Macaca mulatta: one gene and its partner. Each later gene encodes a partner of the first gene's protein in a complex. Links are inferred from orthologs where the notes say so. Each region holds a gene or a part of one and is shown in the gene's direction. Other genes may lie near its edges.

What was found. The genes of interacting proteins can lie anywhere in the genome.
Region 2: the proteins of CAPZA2 (region 1) and S100A1 are in contact, whole or in part, in an NMR structure (PDB 2KBM), measured with the Rattus norvegicus proteins. The link is inferred for Macaca mulatta from reciprocal best matches to the Homo sapiens genes CAPZA2 and S100A1. Residues at the interface, in NP_001009180.1 of Rattus norvegicus: Thr267, Lys268, Ile269, Asp270, Trp271, Asn272, Lys273, Ile274, Leu275, Ser276; in NP_001007637.1 of Rattus norvegicus: Ser44, Phe45, Leu46, Asp47, Lys50, Asp51, Ala54, Lys57, Ile58, Glu61, Leu78, Ala81, Leu82, Thr83, Ala85, Cys86.

Annotation. Positions count from the first base shown.
Region 1 is NC_133408.1:156,397,168-156,402,519, forward strand, and holds the start of CAPZA2 (F-actin-capping protein subunit alpha-2), read left to right. Parts: upstream 1-2,113; 5' UTR 2,114-2,216; coding exon 2,217-2,255; intron 2,256-5,352. UniProt on the Homo sapiens protein: F-actin-capping proteins bind in a Ca(2+)-independent manner to the fast growing ends of actin filaments (barbed end) thereby blocking the exchange of subunits at these ends.
Region 2 is NC_133406.1:113,405,079-113,410,404, reverse strand, and holds the start of S100A1 (protein S100-A1), read left to right. Parts: upstream 1-2,078; 5' UTR 2,079-2,137; intron 2,138-4,154; 5' UTR 4,155-4,167; coding exon 4,168-4,308; intron 4,309-5,326. Other genes in the region: S100A13 (protein S100-A13), read right to left, coding at 1-109. UniProt on the Homo sapiens protein: Small calcium binding protein that plays important roles in several biological processes such as Ca(2+) homeostasis, chondrocyte biology and cardiomyocyte regulation.

The DNA of each region.
Region 1 (5,352 bases):
ACCCTAAGGCCTTACCACTCAAAACGTGGTCTCCAGATCAGGAACACTGGCATCAGCTGGGAGCCTGTTATTCCACAGGCTGTATTCTGGAGAAAACAGATTCTCCAGCCTCATGCCAGATCTATTGAATTAGCAACTTCATTTTCACAAGATTCCCAATTGATTCATATATATGCAGCTTTGATTACATGTTTAATCTCTCATAAACTTCAAGCTTCAAAAGCAGGGTTGCTAGATTTAGCAAATAAAAGTAAAGGATGTCCAGTAAAATTTGAAAACAATGAGTAATTTTTAAGTATGTCTCCAACGCTTCATGGGACATACTTTTCAAAAGATTGCTTATCTGCAATTCACTTTTGATTAAGTGTCCTATATTTAATATGGCAACCCTATTCAGGAGGGTAGGATCCATGTCTAACATAACTTTGTATTCCCCTGGAATAGTACAGTGCCTTCCCCAACTGTTTTTGTTTTGTTTTGTTTTGTTTTGTTTTTTGAGACAGAGTCTCGCTCTGTCACCCAGGCTAGAGTACAGTGGCGCGACCTTGGCTCACTGACACCTCCACCTCCCAGGTTGCAATGACTTCTGCAACTCTCCTGCCTCAGCCTCCCCAGTAGCTGGTATTACAGGCATGCGCCACCACTCCAGGCTAATTTTTGTATTTTAGTAGAGATGGGGTTTCTCCATGTTGGCCAATCTGGTCACGAACTCCTGACCTCAGATGATCTGCTGCCGAGACCTCCCAAAGTGCTGGGATTACCGGCGTGAGTCACCACGCCCGGCCCCAACTGTTCAATATATGTTTGTTTAATGAGTACAAAAATGAGCTTCTTGAGAACAGAAGTTTCTCTTTTTATTTCAATAGTTTTGGAGTACAGGTGGATTTTTGGTTACATGGGTAAGTCCTTCAGTGGTAATTTCTGAGATTTTAGTGCACCCATCACCTGAGCAGTGTACCCTGTACCCAATATGTAGTAATTTATCCCCTCCCCAGTCCCCAAAGTCCATTTTATCATTCTTATGCCTTTGCACACTAACAGCTTAGCTCCCACTTATAAGTGAGAACATAAAATATTTGGTTTCCCATTCCTGAGTTACTTCACTTAGAATAATGGCCTCCAGCTCCTTCCAAGTTGCTGCAAAAGGCATTATTTCGTTCCTTTTTATGGCTGAGTAGTATTCCATGATGTATATACCCACATTTGCTCTATCCACTCATTGGTTGATGGACACTTAGGTTGGTTCCATTTCTCTGTAATTGCGAATTGTGGTGCTATGAACAGGCGTGTCTAGCTTGTTTTTTTCCCCCTCAACACTATAGCCCCAGAGACTAACACAGTGCCCCGCACCCCGTTAAAGGACCAGAAAATATTTGTTGGATGAATAAAGGAATATATAAAGAGCAATCTTTCAATTATGGAGCGGGTCGTGTGTGTGTATTTTAATGAAAGCCGACTATTTAATTTTTTGTTTGTTTGTTTGTTTTTTGTTTTTTGTTTTTTTTTGAGACAGAGTCTCGCTCTGCCGCCCAGGCTAGAGTGCAGTGGCGTGATCTTGGCTCACTGCAAGCTCCGCCTCCCGGGTTCACGCCATTCTCCTGCCTCAGCCTCCCGAGTAGCTGGGACTACAGGCGCCCGCCACCTCGCCCGGCTAGTTTTTTTGTATTTTTTAGTAGAGACGGGGTTTCACCGTGTCAGCCAGGATGGTCTCGATCTCCTGACCTCGTGATCCGCCCGTCTCGGCCTCCCAAAGTGCTGGGATTACAGGCTTGAGCCACCGCGCCCGGCTATTTAATATTTTTTTAAAAACAATGTTTAAAAAGCTTCTATTTGTCCACCTTTTCAGATTTTAGCTGGCAGAGTTCAAGACTTGATAGAAACATAACGAAGGGCTCAGAATGTACTCATCGCAGACTGAGCCCATATGGTCACTGTGGGGAGAGAACGTTACACTCACGATGCTAGCAAGCCTGCTGCAGGCGGCCCCGGGAGACAACGTCCCCCGCCCGGCCACCAGGCACCCGCGCACGCGCACAGCCGCGCTCAGTCCCCGAGGGCCGGGTCGAGGGAGGCGGGGCTCTCGGGGCGCGTGCGCGGCGACCTGAGCGGCGGGCCCCTCCCTTAGCGGGGGCGCGCGGCGCTGAGGACCGCACGGAAGCGGGGAAGTCAGGTGGCCGCTGCCGCCGCCGCCGCCGCGGTTTGTCGCCAGAAGGAAGATGGCGGATCTGGAGGAGCAGTTGTCTGATGAAGAGAAGGTAAGAGTCGTGGGGGTGGCGGCGCCGGCCGTCGGGAGCCGGCTCAGCCCGGGCGGGTGGGCCCAGAGTCTGGTCGCGGGGGATGGGCATTGGCTCGCAGCTGGCGGTGCCCTCGTCTGCCCTTCTTCCCCCATCCTTGCTGCGCCGAGTGCCTGCCCCTGTCCGTCACCCGAGGCCCCGCGCGGGGGCAGGTCTTTGCCAGGCCTGCTCGCTCCGCTCCTTGTAGGGTGTGTACTCCGAAAATAGGAAGCGGGAGCCGGGCGACGGCGGGCGGGGGCGCGGGCGCGGGGGAGGGCGGCGGCTGCCCGGGACTCTCTCCTGCTATCCGGCCGCGGAGCCTGCGCCGGGGGCCGGGGACCGGGGACGCAAAGGGGTCTGCGTCCGTGCCTGGGAGCGGCCCAAGGGCAGTGCCCAGCGCGGCGGCCTGGCCTGTGAGTGTAGCGGCGGGTGAGGGGGAAGGGAAAAATCGCTTAGGAAGCAGACCTTCACTTCTCCCTTCTACTTCCCCCTCCCCAAAACAAAACGCTTCCTTTTCTGATTCTCTACGGTTTATCCCTTTTTTTTTCCCTTTCCCTATGGAGGCCTCTCTCTCCCCCTCTCTCTTTCGTTTCATGGCTCTAGCAGTAAGCTTTGCAGCTCCCATGTTCCCCGGGAGGCAGCGGAGTTGCTCACAAAAAGACGACCCCTTCCCCATAGTTGTTTTCTGCCCACGTTGTCAGCATTCTCCCCGGGGGTCGATTTGGTGTCACGTCACCTTCCTGCTAGGACTTCTTCCGAGAGGGGAAATTGTTCTACTCCTTTTACTGTATGTCAGATGCTGTGACAGCAGTGGAACCAGATGAACTACTTAAGTTCTCAGATATTTAAAAGGAGCAATGGAATAATTCATTGAACTGCTGCTCTCTTAATTCGCCCCTTTCGTTTGGCTTTCGTGAACGTCCCATTCCTGAGGGTGGTGGGATAGGGGAGAACCCTGCTAATTTTGACTGTTTCTCGGAAAGGACACTGACGTTTCTCAAACTTAGAAGTAACTGACAGAACATACGAGTGAGTTAGTTGTAGGGTTGGAAATGTCCACTCTTCGTTAAAGAGTGCTCCATTTTTAAATTTCAAAGCAGTACAGCCAATGGAGGAAAATACAGGTACATTTAGGTACGTTGTGGTGTTTAAGAAATCCTCGTGTAAGTCTAAGAATATTTTCATTTGGGACCCTCTGCTCTAGGTGTTTTTATATGCTGTGTTCTTGCACCGAAATAGAAGGTTCTGTCCCATTCCCAATGTGAATGGTCAGAAGTCAGCCTCATCTTTATTTTCGGAAATCTGTCTTTCTCTTGTGTTGTTTGGTGAAAGTGATAATACAACAACAAAATGGGGGCGAGCAACGTCTCCATAACCCACAGACCCAGTAGGCAGATCCCTGTATCCACAAAAGTTGCTATACAGTATTGAATGTATAATCTTGGTAAATAACCCTAAGTAGGTGACTGAAAATGTACAGGAGTGCACAAACGCATATTTAAAATTGAGTCGTGCTAAAAAGCTTAAAAAGAGATTGTCGTGTTTTTATTCTACCATTCTTAAGTGGTGATTAGTAGCTCAAGTGGCTAGAAATCTAGCTGAAGAGAGAATACTCAGTGTGGGAGTTAATAAGACCTGCCATGTGTTGTAAAGGCCTAAAATTAAAAAGTTTTTTAAAAATGAGATAACAAGATGCCTTATTATCCGGCACTCTCAGGGCACTAAGCTTCATAAAGAGGAATGAGGAGGTTCTATGTCTTAAAGCCTGCGCCGCCTAGTAGCAAAATGTTTTATGGTTAAATGAATGAAAATTCTAATTTGATTTTTGGTGTTTTGTAAGAATATTATGTAGATATTTTACATATAAATTTCATCACTATATTTACTAATTTAAAAACTGAGAAAACTTTTAGGTTAAATTCAAGTAACCAGTTAAGTGAAATTTTAACGTTCTTGTCAATTGAGATATCTAAAGGTTGTTTTCATTTTGGGGCAGGAGGATGTGTCCAGTATGGGATCAGAAAACAGAGAGGACTTAAAAGTGATATTTTGATATTACTCTTTGTACGCCTTATTGGTAATTTTCAAAAATAAGCTGTCAAGCTGGGCATGGTGGTTTGCACCTGTAATGCCAGCTACTCTGGATGCCAAGGTATGGAGGATTGCTTGAGCCCAGGAGTTGTAGACCAGCCTGGGCAACAAAGCGAGACCTCATCTCTAAAAAAAATATACTAAGTTTTGAATACTTTTAAGTTTTTGAGATTTCCATTCTAGATTGCAAATCTGAGGAAGGGAAGCTGTTAAGATGTATCTAGTACTGTACTTTATATATGCTTGGCTCAGTTAGATCCATTCATTACTTAATTTGTTGTTGTAAGAGGTAGTTGTTCTATTTCCATTTCACAGATGAGTAGAGTGAGGTTCAAAAGCTTTAAGTAGTTCACCCAAGGACAGTCAAGATGAAGGTCTTGTTACATTATGCTCTCTTCTTTTTTTTTTTTTTGAGACAGAGTCCCCCTCTGTTGCCCAGCCTGGAGTGCAGTGGTGCAATCTCGGCTCACTGCAACCTGTGCCTCCTGGGCTCAAGCGATTCTCCTGACTCAGCCTGCTGAGTAGCTGGGATTACAGGCACTTGCTACCATGCCCAGCTAATTTTTATATTTTTAGTAGAGGCGGGGTTTCACTATGTTGTCCAGGCTGGTCTTGAACTCCTGACCTCAGGTGATCCACCTCCCTCGGCCTCCCAAAGTGCTGGGATTACAGGTGTGAGCCACCGTGCCCAGCCGACATTATGCTTTCTTAAACAAAATTGATAAAAACCTCTTCTGGTTTTGTCTCTTCATTTTTAATTTGTTGACAGCTTATTTTGAAAAAGGAGAAACGTTGGTTCTTCCTTTTTTCTTTTTTAGACAGGGTCTCACTCTGTCACCCAGGCTAGAGTGCAGTGGTGATCATGCCTCACTGCAACCTCAACTTCCTGGGCTCAAGCAGTCCTCTCACCTCAGTCTCCCCAAGTAGCTGGGAGTACACGCAGGCGTGCCACCACACCCAGCTAATTTAAAAATTTTTTTTATAGAGA
Region 2 (5,326 bases), on another chromosome or scaffold:
CGTTGATGCTGAGGCTATCCTTCCGGCCCTCCTGCCTAGCAAAGGTGAAGAAGGTGGTGACCACGGTCTCAATGGACTCCTCTAGCTCTGTCAGTGGTTCTGCTGCCATTAGGACCCTGAGGCCAAAGCTGATGTCCTCAAGGGGCTAGCTGACCTTTGTCAGGGCTGACCTGTGGAACAGAGGAGGAGCAGAGAGGGAGAGTCATGGAGCCCCAAGATGCAGGAATGGTTCAGAAGGCCCCTGCCTTGGTGTTACCGCATCAGGTCTTGGCCTGGAGAGGGCATTATAGAGAAAGAGGGAGAGGACAGGGGTTGAGCTTGGGGCAGCAGACCAGACAACAGCATCTCAGTTTAGGTGGGGGCAGAAGATTCGGCTCCAGAAACCCCCTCTTCTGTAGGTCTCACAATCTGGGCTCCTTTTTAAATGTCTGTGGCTTAGGGACCCCTCTGTGGTGATGCCTCGATCTAGAGACCTCTCTACTTGAGAGGAGGTTTTCAGTTAAGGGTCCTTCCTGGAGTCCTTCGAGTCTGGTGGCCCCTCTGTGGCCTGTCTGTCTCAAGAGTCCCTTCTTGTCTCACCCAGCCTCACAGGTCACAAGGTTGTTTGTCTCCAAAGCTTGTTTATGTTGGGACCTGGTCTTCAGCCACCCGCATCCGCCCACACACACTCTGACGCTTCTCCCAGCAGAGAAGCACAGGGTCTGGCAAATGTCCCCTGTGGTCAGAGCTGGCTCCGTCTGAACAGACCCATTTTCTCTGCCGGGATCCACCCTTACCTCTCTCCTCAGGGCACCAGGGCAGAGTGCTGAACCCAGGACCCCACAGATCCTCCCCGCTCCTGTCTCCCCATCGGGAGATAAGGGTCCTGGAACGGGGTGTCTCTGACTCCCTGCCCCACGACGGGTTTAGTACAGGCACTCACAGCCCCCTGGGGTGCGGTGGGTGGGGCTGGAAGAGGCATTCTCTTTTCCGTCCCCCCGTCACGCACTCCGGCATGCACTGTTGCTCGATCGTCCAAAGCTGCTTCCTGAATTCCTGTCTGAGCCGGCTCTGGGGGAGGGACCTGGGAGCCCAGGAAGAAAAAATGATCTCCAGGCTCCCTCCAGGGTCGGCAATGAGACTTACCGGGCAAGGAGATGGGGTGGAGTGAGCTGGAGTCTCAAGGCTGAGGTTTATAAGCAGCAGGGAAGGAGAGAGCTGCTTACAAGCCCGGAGGTGTCAAATTTCCGTGGTGGATTCTGAAGACCAGAGACAGCCCAATCAGGCCTCTTGCCCTGAACCCTCAGGCCTGGACCCGGGCTCCCTGCCAGCCACACGAGCGCCCCCACTTGGTCAGGGAGAGGAGCTGTCTGGACAGATTTCATTCAGCAGGGGTCCCAGGGTCCTAGTCCTTTCAATACTGGGGGCTGCTGCCACCACACCCCACGTCTAATCAGGAGTGTGTATGCTGAGGGGGGAAGAGGGAGGAAACCAATTGAGGGAGCTCAACACTGAGAGGCCCAATCTGAGACATACACGGAGGCCCCTTAGAATGAAACCCCACAAAGGATGCTACAGCCCAAGATCCCTCAAAGAACCCCAGGCTGAGGCCCCACACACACAGGGGGATCCAGGTTGAGAACCCCATAGAAGAGTCCTGGATTGAAATCCCTCTGTGGGTTCTCAGACTCCCAAGACTAAGTTACTCACTGAGGGTCCTCTCAGTGAGGCCCCATGGAGGAGCCACAGACTAAGACCCCCTCAGCAGAATTCCCCCCTTACCCGGGTCAACCAGCACAGTCAGCTGCAGGTACTGCAAGGCCCGGCTTGGGGTGAGACAACCAGTATCCCTCCCAGGACCTCCTTCCCACCTCTTTCCCCTGCACCATCCACTGCTGCCTAAAGAGAAGGGAACGGGGCAAGCAAGGCTGGGAAAGAGACAAGGGCCGCCTGTTCCAGCCCAGGAGACAGAGGGCGCCTCTGTCTGCTCCTGGCCCCTTGCCCCACAGGGTGTTCGTCTGTGAAGGGGTGGAGTCGGTGGGGGGGTCAGCGGGGGAGGGACTGTTGAAGACAGGTCTCCACACACAGCTCCAGCAGCCACATTTGCAGCCTCGGCTATCTGTCCAGAACCTGCTCCCACCTCAGGCCCAGGCCGACGGTGAGTACCCTGCCCCACCGGGCTAGTCCCTGGCCTGCCAGCTTCGGGGAGAGGGGTCTTCAGAAGGGCTCCAAGAGGCTGGGGCCCATAGCACTGTGGGGCACTAAGGATCTGGGAGGAGTCAGTCAGAGTGAGGGCAGTTTGGGATTTGGGGGAGACAGGGTTTGGAAGGTGGTGATGAGAGACAAATGAACTGAAGGTCGGAGAGAGAGCTGGCAGCTCAGCAAAGGAGGAAGTCAGTGGGGAACCCACCAAGAACTTCCTGGCCACCTGGCCCTCCCACAGGGAGCCCTCAAGTCCCTGCCAAGGCCCCCTCTGTCTCCCAGGTGTTGGGAAGGGCCCCAGCCCTCCCCTGCCTCGCCTCCTGTGGGGTAAGAAGAAGAGAGCAGATACAACAGCTGTTTCTGCCCCCACCTCTCTTGCCAGCCTTAGTCTCTGCCACCCCCACCCTGCCTTGCCAAGAGCTCAGGTCTCTGGGGAGTCTGGGGGTGGCAAGGCGAAGCTCCCAAGATATGGGGAAGTGGGGGATGGAGGGTGCTGTACCCCTTCCCAACGCTACCTCCACAGGACCTCCCCTTTCTCCTCCTCCCCTTTTTGGCCCAGACCTCTTGACTCCTCTTTCCCCCAATTCTTTCCTCTTTGTTTTCCCATCTGCCCTGCCCCCAAGTCCTCTCAGAACTGCCACCACATAAAATCCCAGGCTGCTCTAGGGCTCCAGGCGACCTCCAGCTGCCCCTCTGGCATGGAGCAGGTAATCAAGCCACCAGCATCCCTCCCTCAAGCACCCCTTATCCCCTCATCAGCCACAGCTTGGGTTCCATCTCCCCCATGTCTCTGTGACAACCGCTTCTCAGGTCCGGAGTTCAGATGACACTCACAAGGGCCCCATTGAAGAACTGGGATGTCATTCGATCGGGGCCATTGTCCAGCCCCCTAGGCCTGGGGAAGGATGGGGACATCTGATCCGAGACACCTGAGCTGCCCCCCCTGGGGTTGCGGAAGGCCAGACTGTCCCAGGGCCAAAGGAAAGAGGCCCCCCTTGGCAGTCTTCTCTCTCAACAGACCCCTCCTTTCTCCTTTCTTCTCCTACTCTCTCCCAGCCCCTTGAACTCAAAGGACTGCATGCTCTCAGCCCTTTATCTCCCCCAACACATACCAGCCCCATTCCCCTTGCTCCCACTATCCCCAAATCAACCAGGAGTGAGCAGTCGCAGGGACAATGCCTGCAAGTCTCCTCTCCCCTTCCCTGGGAACCCTGGCTCCAAGGAAAAGGCTCAAACATTCCTCTCTCCCCTTCTGCCACCCACTAGATGAAAGGGATAATTTTGCAGAAGCAATGGGAGCATACCCCAGAGAAGCCAAAATGACATGTTCAGGAGAGAACAGAGTTGAAGGACCAAAAGGGGCCCCCAGCTGCTGACAGGAAACTCAGAGTCAGTGAGACCTCCCTCCCCTAGAAGCCTTAGGCCACCCGCCCACTGGGGCTGCCACCCCCTCTACCAGGCTGACCGAGGGTACCAGACTGACTTCTTGCTAGGGGTGGGCAGCAGAGGGAAGGCTGTAGTGGACACCCCAGCCCACCACCCTCAACAGCAGAGCTTGGCTATACTAGGCAGGCAAGGTCCAGGGTAAAAATAGAGCCAGAGGAAGCATGGCCTCGTCCTGTGACCACCCCTGCCTGCCCCACCCTCCTCAATCCCTGCCTGGGCAGCCACTGCAGACATCTACCACAGGCCTCTGGAGCCAGCCCAGCTCCAACTGCTCTCTCTCCATGCCCTAACCCTGATTCCCTTTGGCTGGGGTACAGACTGAGGGACATGGAGAACAGGTCTGCATTTAGGTCTGCTGGGGTTTCCCTCACATTGTAAAATCTCAGGGAAAGATCAATTGCAGTTGGGCTTTAATCCCACAGTTATTTGAGCTGTCAGCCAGGGCCAGGCCTGAGGGCTCCCCTCACCTAGACCCTGGTACTCTGGGCCTGGTCCTCAAGGCTCACTTCCATGTTGGGGGTGGGTAGGTGCACTGCTGCAATGGGCTCTGAGCTGGAGACGGCGATGGAGACCCTCATCAACGTGTTCCACGCCCACTCGGGCAAAGAGGGAGACAAGTACAAGCTGAGCAAGAAGGAGCTGAAAGAGCTGCTGCAGACAGAGCTCTCTGGCTTCCTGGATGTAAGTACAGAGTGGTGGAGTGGGAGTGGAGTGGGTGAAGGTTGGGGGAATGGGGTGGGCACCCCCTTGCTGTCTCCCCACCCCACCTCCAGCTCAGCCCAGCCTCCTTCTTTCCTTTCCCAGGCTTCTCTCCTGGATTTTTCCAGGCTCCCCTACTCCAGCTGGGTCAAGTCAAAATGCCCCGGTTTATTGATCACCAATATGTTATTGATCACTATAACAAGTGTTAGGCCCTGTGTAGATTCATCAGTAATAAGACTCACAGACTAGAAGGGAAAGATTGATAATTAAAAGTAAACCATGAACTCCAGGAAGTACACAGAGCCTTAATAGATGTGCCAGAAAGGGTTATGAGAGATTATTAACCTGATTGAAGTAAGATGGCTTTCCTGAAGAGGTAGCACTTGAGCCATGGATTTCCATTGGAAGATTATCTAGGTAAATGCAGACATTTTAGGAGGAAGTAACTGAATGAACAAAAGCACAAGAGAAAGAAGAATGTGGTGCATGCCAGTAGTTTTATTCGACTGGCATGAAGGATATAGAAAAGTAGGCTGCAAAGGCTAACCAGGGCCACAAAGTAAAGAAGCCTCAGGATATAGTAGAAAGTGCATCAGTTTAGGCCGGGCATGGTGGCTCATGCCTGTAATCCCAGCACTTTGGGAGGCCGAGGCAGGTGGATCACATGAGGTTGGGAGTTCGAGACCAGACTGACCAACACGGAGAAAACCCGTCTCTACTAAAAATACAAAATTGGCCAGGCGTGGTGGCGCATGCCTGTAATCCCAGCTATTCGGGAGGCTAAGGTAGGAGATTGCTTGAACCCGGGAAGCGGTGGTTGCAGTGAGCTGAGATCACACCATTGTACTCCAGCCTGGGCAACAAGAGCAAAACTCCGTGTCAAAAAAAAAAAAAAAAAAAAAAAAAAAACGCCGGGCGCAGTGGCTCAAGCCTATAATCCCAGCACTTTGGGAGGCCGAGGCGGGCGGATCACGAGGTCAGGAGATCAAGACCATCC